Caenorhabditis elegans: one gene and its partner. The gene in region 1 interacts genetically with each later gene. Each region holds a gene or a part of one and is shown in the gene's direction. Other genes may lie near its edges.

Region 1 (4,980 bases):
AATTAATCCGCTTTCATCCGCTTTCGTCGATTTCAATTGCTCAATGTTAACGGATTTTTCCCGTTTTTCTTTTGTTATATTCGTAAGTTTCAGTTATATTTCGTAAGTTTTGTTATATTCGTAAGTTTGAGGAGCACGAATACTACATTTTAAAACAATTTCCCCATTCCGGATACTCTAATGGATACTCTAGTTTTTGATACCTTTCGAACATGGTGCATCGACTCTCTTCGTAAAAAACAATGCTAAATACCAAATTTTCTCTAACTTTATATTACATGCCGTCTAAGTTGAATAAGGCCCATAGCTAGGTTTTGGACATGGTGCATCGACCAAGGCAGCTCTTTTCTCTGTAGGTTATCAAAAAGTGTCAACTATCTACTTTTTTACAATTATATAGTTGAGCACTTTCTGATGCTCCTTTCTAAACATTTTCAAGATCACAAGTGTAAAGTGTAACACCAAAGAATCCCCACAATAAACATGGCTTCCTGTTTTTTGTAATAGAACTGATATTCTGAATCTGTCAACAATATTGAGCTCTATTGAGCATCAGCTTTGTCAAATTTTGTAGCCTCTAATTTTGATGCGTTACACAGTCGCCGCTCAGCCAATTTCAAAACCCCCGCAAGGCTCTGAAAGGCAAAGATCTCCTTAATCGTGGCTCTTCTTGAGATGAGGTGCTCTTTCAAGCTCCTCCTCTCTCCCAATCTCTCACCACCTGCGTCTCCAGCGTCACGTCTTCATGAAGAGGGGTGCGCGAGTGGGGGGACTGAGCAGCACGGCTTCTTCTTCTTCTTTCTCTTTTCACTCTCTTTTTGGCTTCTTCTTCTTCCCCTTCAGCTTCTCGAACACTCACTAGCTTCCATGAATTGTAGCGGCTCTCTCTCTCACTTTCCCTGACTTAGTTACGCCACAATTTTATATTATTTTCGGGATTTTTTATATTCCAGTAATATTATTTCTTTGTGACGTGCTCGTTACTTCTGAAAATCTGTAAAAATTGAAGAAAAAAAATTAGTAGTCCAGGCCTAGAACTAGGCTTCCAAGGCCCTTATTTGAGTATAAAATTTAGTAGTTAAAAGGAGCATGCAAAAATTAAAAAAAATTTAATTAATTTCCAAAAAAACTTTTGTTTTTTTGAATGTTTCAAAAGGAGTTTTCCAGTTTTCTTTCTTACAATTAGTAAAAATGTTTTTTTTTCACTCCAATACTTTTCATTTGACCCCCATGGGTCCCGCCACGAAAACCTGCCGGACTACTGTAGGTTTCGTGGTGGGACCCAAAATAAAGAGACTTGGATGCCAAATGAAAAAATGAATACCTAGAAAAATTTTAAAAAAAGTTCCAGCGTTTTTGTAAAAAAAATTTTGCTGTGCAACTATTATACCCTCCAATTTTCCAGGCCATATACTTCGGTTCATTTTCAAAAAAAAATTTCAATTTCCTAAAATTTCCTCTAGAAAACTATAGAAAAAAAGTTTTTTAAAATAATTTTCTTTTCAAATTTTTGATGAAATCAAAGTAAACTGAGTTGCAGCACTATGTCTGATCTTTACCAATTTTTATGGACTATATCTCGGCCTATTTGAGCTATAATTAAAGAAATTTTACTACAAAAATATAGAAAACCACTTAATAAACACTTTGTCAGTTAATTTTATTTTGATAAAATTAAAAGCAACTGAGCTAAAAGCTGTAGAATAGCTGTAGACATATCTTGATCGATGCACTATGTCTGATCTTTACCAATTTTTATGGACTATATCTCGGCCTATTTGAGCTATAATTTGAACATTTTAACTACAGAAATATAGAAAACTACTTAATAAACATTTTGTCAGTTAACTTTGTTTTGGTAAAAGATTTTTCAATTTTTGTCTCTAATTTTTGTTCTTGCTTCCAAATTATCCATCTAACATATGTAAATTGTTGATTATTCACAAATTTGCAGCTTGTCACCATTCCACCGACAGTTGCACTTGCTCCGGCTCCGTCGGCTGCTGATATGGGGCAGCAGCAGCACGAGATGCGCGCCAGTAGCACCTCGTCGACAGATTCAAATGGGTTTCCGGTGAAGGATCCGGATGCTATTAAGCTTTTTGTCGGGCAGGTTGGTTGGGCTGAAAATTGAAAAAAATTGGGGTTTGTGGAATTTCTGAAAATATAGATTTTCAAAACTTTGTTAGACTGCGTGTTAGGTCCCGCCGCAAAGCAGGGGTACTGTAGTTGTCGTGGTGAGACCCACAACTTTAAAATTGGGGGGATTCTAGGCAATATGGGGGTGGATTTTTGTGAAAAGTTTTTGATTTTTTTTTGATTTTTCAATTTTCTTAGAAACCTTAACTTTTCCCATTTCCCTCTACAAATCGCGTGACGCTGATACCCTCCCTCTCTCCCCATTTGTGAAGCCCATTCTGCACCAAATTTGCTCTTTTCCCTCCCCCTCTACACCACGCGGATATCTCCCGGCGTCTCGCATACTCCATCGTCAGAGTGTGTGTCAAGTTTGTCGCTGTGCTCCGCGAGCAAGATCGATATGAGCACCCAGAAACCCGGGGGGACACAGGCGGTTCGGAGCATATTAGGGAATATTGGATTAAGGGAATATGAGTAGAAGGGAAACGTTTCTCATAGAATTTATAATTATATTCTATGAAAATCTAGAAACTAAAATTATTAGCTACTCAGTAGTTTTTACAGAACTTAAAAATATCGATTTTGAGTCAAGTTATGGCGATTTGAAGTTAGTGGCCTAGAATTTGAAAACTACTAATCACGCTAGTTACATTTTTCAGCTATAACTTATATTTTGAAATTTGAAAAAATATCGATTTTCAGGCAAGCTAGAGAAATCTGAAGGTGGTGGCCTAGGATTTTTCTAGGCCACCAACTTAAACTCACTTGAACTCGGCTCGAAGTCAACATTTTAAAGTCTGAAAAATGTTGTGATTTAAAAAAAAATAATAATTACTATTATTTTGTATCGTATCAAACTTTTTTGCGCTCAAAAAATATTGATTTAGAGCCAAGTTAGAGCGGTTTTAAGTTGATGACCTAGAAATGCAAAGTTAGGCCATGGATTGTTTTTAAAATTGCTATAATAGTGTTAACTGAGCACATTTTGTAACAATTTTCAAAATTCAGAAATTATGATTTTAAGCCAAGTTATAGCGGTTTTAAGTTGGTGGCATAGAAAAATCCTAGGCCACCAACTTGAAACGGTCATAACTTGACTGAAAGTTAATATTTTTAAATTTTGAAAAATGTATTAAACTTAAGAATATATTAATATATCTATTCTTCAAGTTTAAGTAATAATGGCCTAGTTTTTTGTGTTATTTGGTTTTCTAGGCCGCCAACTTTAAAATGATGTCACTTGGCGGAAAATCGATAATTTTTTAAAATTCAAAATGATGTCAGTGTACAAAACACTCGCAAAAAGTGAAAAATATTAAATTGATTTTCAGTTAATGGCCTAACATTTTGTATTTCTAGGCCACCAACTTCGAACCGTTTTAAAAATTACAAATGTAATAGATTTTATGAAATATTTAGCGTTGTAATAAATGTTTATAAAAAAATTTATTTGGAAATTTTTAAATTCGCAAAAAGTTATATCTAAGAATTCAGATCCCCCGAAACTTGGAAGAGAAAGATCTACGTCACCTATTTGAGCAATTTGGTAAAATATATGAATTCACAATTCTTAAGGACAAATATACAGGTAAGCAGAAAAATTAAACTTTTGTTTTTTTTTCAACAAAAAATGTTTTTGAAAAAAAAAATCCAAAAAAAAAAAATTTTTTTGCTAGATAAAATTTCCCCACAAAATTTTCTTACTACTACCAGAAGCCTGACAGGGTGTGGTTAGAGTACCGGAATCACGGTTCATTAGAAATTGAAATGCATTCAGGTATGCACAAAGGCTGCGCATTTCTCACCTACTGCCATCGAGACAGCGCCGTCCGCTGTCAGGCGACACTTCACGATCAGAAAACGCTGCCTGGAGTGAGTATTCGTTTGCCTTTTGGAAAAATGAAATGTTTGTTTTGAAAATATAGAAAATGCTCTGAATATTTGTTTTTAAAACTTTGAAAAATCTTGATTTGAATTAAAGTTATGGCCAATTGAAGTTGGTGGCCTAGAAACCCAAATTGATGGCCTAGAATTTTTTTCAATCTAAAATTTGAGTTGTTAGTATAGTAGATAAACATTCATACTGTATATCTAGTTTTTTAATTTCTGAAAAATCACGATTTTACGCAAAATTATGGTCAGATGAAGTAGGTGGCCTAGAAAATCAAATGGGTGGCTTAGAAAATTTAAAAATGTATATTTTATAAGTTCACTAGTTGAGTTTTCGCTAAGTTTTGTGGTTTTGAAGTTCGTGGCCTAGAATTTTCAAAATTGATAATTTTTAAAAAATTTTAAATTGAAAACACATTTAAAAATTCACTAGACTTTTCAAAAACATCAAAATATATTCAATTTTAACAAAGGTATGATATTTTAAAGTTGGTGGCCTAGAAATCCAAAAATCGGCCACGACCTCTTATTTTGCGTGGAACGTCGTATCGTGTTGGCAGCGTTTTTTAGAATTCAAAAACAACAATAAAGTTACAGAAGCTTTTATGTGATGGCCTAGAATTTTAACTGAAATTTCTAGGTCACCAATTTAAAATTTTTTGCCATAACTTGGTTCAAAATAATATTTTCAAAATCTGAAAAATGAAAAAAAAAAAGCTTGCCGACGATGACTCCATCGAATAGATCAAAAACTGAACTCAGCAAAAAAACGTGGCCTAACTTTCACTTTTCTAGGCCACCAAGGCCCAAAAAGTGAAACGCTTCAAACGGTGGCCTAGAAACTCAAAAAGCTAGACGAAAAGAAAAATTTGAGCAAATTGACCGCAGTTCCGTTGCGAAAAACGAATTTTTGCGCGGCGGCTTGTGCCGGAAATTTCTGATTGAATTTAG
Region 2 (4,161 bases), on another chromosome or scaffold:
GGAAACCAGTCGTCGTCGTTTCTTCCTCTGATTACTATTATTCGTTTTTCAAAGGTTGCAAAAAAATTCGAAGCCCCAATTTTATCCTTACTAAGGTTTTTGAAGTTTTGAACAAATATCTCAATCTCTCCCATGCAACCCTATCATCTTTGTTACTGCTTTTATTTTGTTGTTTTGTTGATGTTATTGAATAATATAATTTGATGCAATTTTTTTAAACTGTTACCTCTAAGGTTTCTGACCGATAATTATCTATTCTGATGATATTTTATTATTATATATATTCGCAGAATTTATTCAGGTTCTGACCATGTTGGGGAACAAATTCGTTGCTCAGTTGGCTCTGCAGCACCTCCGCAATCGAGGACTCGTCAATTCCCCATCTCGTCTGACTTTTGTTCGGTAAATTTTCTTTCCGAATAGTATAGATTTATTTTTTATTCTAGAAATCGATTTGCTTGGGGATCTGATGCTGTTGGTCCAAATGTTCCAGTTGGAGGAAAGATGGGAGCTTCGGAGAATCCAGAATTGCACACCTATGATGGAGACTACCGCGGTACCATCTCGAAGGGGGATAAGCCAATTCCAGATTACTTCTACCGTACTCCAACAACTGGTCGAACCTACATCGATCGTTGTGTAACCTATTTCATCTCAGCTGTCATTTGGGCGTGGTTCTCGTACCACATGTACTATCATTCTGGCCATCTCTTGGGACATTGGTACATGCCATACTTGAGCGAGTTCACGGATGAAGAGCTCGGAATTCCAAAGGATTCTGCCGAAGATCCAGAATACTGGGGCAACCACAAGAAAGAATATGGAACTTATCGATAAATAGTTGACAGAATGTTTTTAGTTCATTCATAGTCTCATTCTTCTTGAAACGACTTGACTTTTATTTTTAACCGTTTCCTGTATGCCTGATTGTAATTCAATAAAGTGGCTTCGAATACGAACATTTTAAAAATATAATTATTTATTTCTAATCTATAACCAAATAACCTAAACTATTCCAAGGTCCGGCACATTGTCTCGTGGACGATAAACTCGCTCTTCTTGGTAGGAAAGAACCTGAAAAAAGACGAATGAAAAACTATTTCGAGCGGAAATTTAGTCTTACAACTTGTTTTTTCGCTTGAAGAGTAGGATCTAGCCTTCCTTCTTGTTCTTGTATCTTCCACATAAACCGATTTACTGGATGTTTGTCGCCTTTCCACCACCTGAAATAAGTATTTCAGTTAAAAATGAATCAATTACAATGTTTTATTACCGGACTCCAACATTGTACATTACTATGTAGAGAAGCGTTGAAGCTACAATTGCAGGACCAGTTCTTTTCATAGGATATGACAGAATTTTGTGGAATCTGAAAGTTAATAATTTTAATTTTAACGCTGGTGAACAACACTTACTTTATTTTCCAATTGGCTTTCCCTGTCGGTTTTGAACTCATCACCACATTTTTGTCACCTTCCATGTTTGAATAATAGTCAATTGTCAAGTTTCAGAGAATAAAATGATCATTAATGGGCAAAAGAAGGTTTTTTTTGTAATTCAGAGACGCCTAGTTTCTGAGAGGTACGGTGTGAAAATGTGTGCATATGTGCGTCATGGTGTTTGCACACCATTTGTGTAATTAATTTACAAGATTTTTGCTCGGAGATTTTTGGCTCAATTTATTGGTTTTATTGATTAAAAATAGATACAAATAATTCATTATTTTAGTAAATTTGTTATTATTTCAAATATATCTGTTTCCAGTCACTAAATGGCCGACGAAACGCCGAAGGTTAAAACAGAACCTGCGGCCGAGGTTAAATCACCCTTGGATGAAGTTAAGGAAATTCGAAAAGAGGCAGAACTGGTAAGTTAATAATAATTCGTACAGTTGCTAATATCCCATGTTCATGTTTTCCAGACACAAACTGGGAGTGACGAAAAGAAAACCACGGACCCGGAATTCATCACAGTACAAGATCCAAATGGAGATGAGCCAATAGAACTTCCTACCGTTGATGGTGTTGTCTTGATGACTACATTGCAAGCATCGTTTCCGGGTGCTACTGGTTTGAAGTACAAAAATCCAAAAACTGGAGCCAACCGAGCTGTTCAGTGAGTGCTTGGTGGAGGTATACTGACTTAAAATTTATTTTATTTTCCAGAGTCGATCCCAGTGGTTTGAAATTAATTGCTCCAGCTGACGGCTGGGAAAATAAAACGTTCTTCGTTATTGTTGCCCCGCGTAAGTTGTTTTTGTTTTATATTAACTAGTTTCACCAAAATTCAAGCTTTTGAGTAGAGACGGTTTATGTGACAGTCTGAGTGAAGACGTTCGAGTGACGTAGTGTGATTCAGAGAGCGAGAGAGTCAGAGCGTTGTCATCAGCTGACGCGACGAGTGCGAAGAGACGTAAAGTGGGATCGAGTGACGACTCGGATTCGGATGACGGTCGTGACGGACGTTCGGGCAGGAAGAGAGCGGTTGAGAGAGACAGCCAGCCAGTTGACCTCATCGTGCTCGGTGTGGACTTCAAAACGACTGACGAGTGCTTTCAGAAATACTTCGAAGATATAGGAACTGTTGTGTTCTGTGAGGTTCGTGAGATGAGTGAAGGAATCTGAAAGTGAGAGAATTAAGTTCACATAGGTTCCATTAAAAATACATATTCAATATTCTTCTTCAGATAAAACGAAAGTCGGATGGAAACTCAAAAGGATTTGGATTTGTCAGAATGTCATCAGTCGGTGAACAAAATAAAGTATTAGCTATCCCACAGCACATGATTGATGGTCGTCGTTGTGATGTGAAAGTTCCAGATGGAAGGGTATGTTATTATACTGATCAATTAAAACTAATAAGTTGAGCAGAGTTTGCAGGACAAACAAGGTCGTCCATCAATCAGTCGAATTTTTGTCGGAAGGCTCACAGACAAAGTAGACGAACATCAACTGCGAAAAGTGTTTGGAGATGAAGCAAAAAGCTATATAGAGACTGCAGTAGTTACCGATGTGTTCATCCCAAAACCATTCAGAGGCTTTGCATTCGTTACGCTGTCGAGCGCCGAAGCCGCGGAAAGAATTGTCAGGTATTGCTAATTTTTTGGAAAACCTGTTAAAAATAACTGTCTCCGGTGTAGCATCACTTTTAAGCACTCATATTTTTCATTCTAGTAAGAAATATAATTTTCAGCAAAGGATCGCTAACTGTCAACGGTTTATCAGTTGGATTGAGCATCGCACAGCCTCGAGAAGAGAATAATCAATCAGTTGGCCCTGATTATGGCCTTCCAGCTGGCTACCGTAACCGCAGAGAACGTGATCGACCGGATAGACGACCGATTCAAAATGAAGCACCTCTGCCCATGCCATTCGTCCGCCCACCACAAGATTACTCATACCGTCAGCAAAATTCTCCCCTCGAGAGGAGATACTGGGCACCTGGAGACTCGAGAGGACCAGGATGGTGATTCTCTCGAAAAATCGTTATTATTCATATTTTTCTACACTTTTCTCAATTTTCTTGTCTGACAATTTGTCATTAGTATTGTTCTCTCACATTTACTAGACCCCTACAATTTTCATGTCGACGCACTTTGCGATTTTATGCTGTATTTTTAATAATGCAATTCTACAATCTCTGAATAAAAAACCTGAAATTAAATCGACTAAAAAACTAGTTCATTCTCAAGAATTGGTAAGACAAGAGGCACAAAAAGTTAGTAAGTTTCCGAGTATTCATTGCACAACATCTCAGAAACGTACTCCGAATTCACAAAGTATGGCGTCGTGTTCACAGAATTCTGGGCAACCTCGGAACTCGTGTTCACATATTTCGGCAGAAATGAAGCTTCAACTTTTTTAACGGCAATATGTTGAGGAACATCGAAAACGAAAATCTCGGACAAAGCATCAAGTTGGTACTGTGATGGGACACGAGCCAAACGAACAGTATTCTCTGCTGGCTTATAATTCAAATCAGCCAATTCATAATAACTTTGTGGACCATCACAATTGACACGTGTAGTTTCTGGATAAGCAATGGTGGATTGTTCAGTGATCCATTGACTTTGAACACTTTCAGTTTCTCTCAAACAATCCTCCCAACCATTATCCGATTCGGCACCCGTGATGACGTCATCAAAGCTCGACTTTTCATTCT

Evidence for each region.
Region 2: changes in unc-75 (region 1) and tdp-1 impair growth when combined (synthetic growth defect), as found in Caenorhabditis elegans (one study listed by BioGRID).

The regions. Positions count from the first base shown.
Region 1 is NC_003279.8:11,590,294-11,595,273, forward strand, and holds the start of unc-75 (RRM domain-containing protein), read left to right. Parts: upstream 1-1,952; 5' UTR 1,953-2,008; coding exon 2,009-2,113; intron 2,114-3,633; coding exon 3,634-3,727; intron 3,728-3,916; coding exon 3,917-4,011; intron 4,012-4,833; exon of another isoform or gene 4,834-4,905; intron 4,906-4,980.
Region 2 is NC_003280.10:8,996,063-9,000,223, forward strand, and holds tdp-1 (Tar DNA-binding protein homolog 1), read left to right. Parts: upstream 1-1,762; 5' UTR 1,763-1,771; coding exon 1,772-1,867; intron 1,868-1,921; coding exon 1,922-2,115; intron 2,116-2,165; coding exon 2,166-2,245; intron 2,246-2,348; exon of another isoform or gene 2,349-2,358; coding exon 2,359-2,597; intron 2,598-2,686; coding exon 2,687-2,827; intron 2,828-2,870; coding exon 2,871-3,088; intron 3,089-3,192; coding exon 3,193-3,469; 3' UTR 3,470-3,660; downstream 3,661-4,161. Other genes in the region: Brix domain-containing protein F44G4.1, read left to right, coding at 1-31; ndub-2 (putative NADH dehydrogenase [ubiquinone] 1 beta subcomplex subunit 2, mitochondrial), read left to right, coding at 311-402, 447-837; F44G4.3 (uncharacterized protein), read right to left, coding at 1,006-1,074, 1,124-1,223, 1,274-1,369, 1,416-1,480; F44G4.5 (uncharacterized protein), read right to left, coding at 3,719-4,161. UniProt on the Caenorhabditis elegans protein: RNA-binding protein which regulates transcription, splicing and RNA-editing. Limits the accumulation of double-stranded RNA by maintaining the abundance of the mature RNA transcripts that are formed from double-stranded precursor RNAs.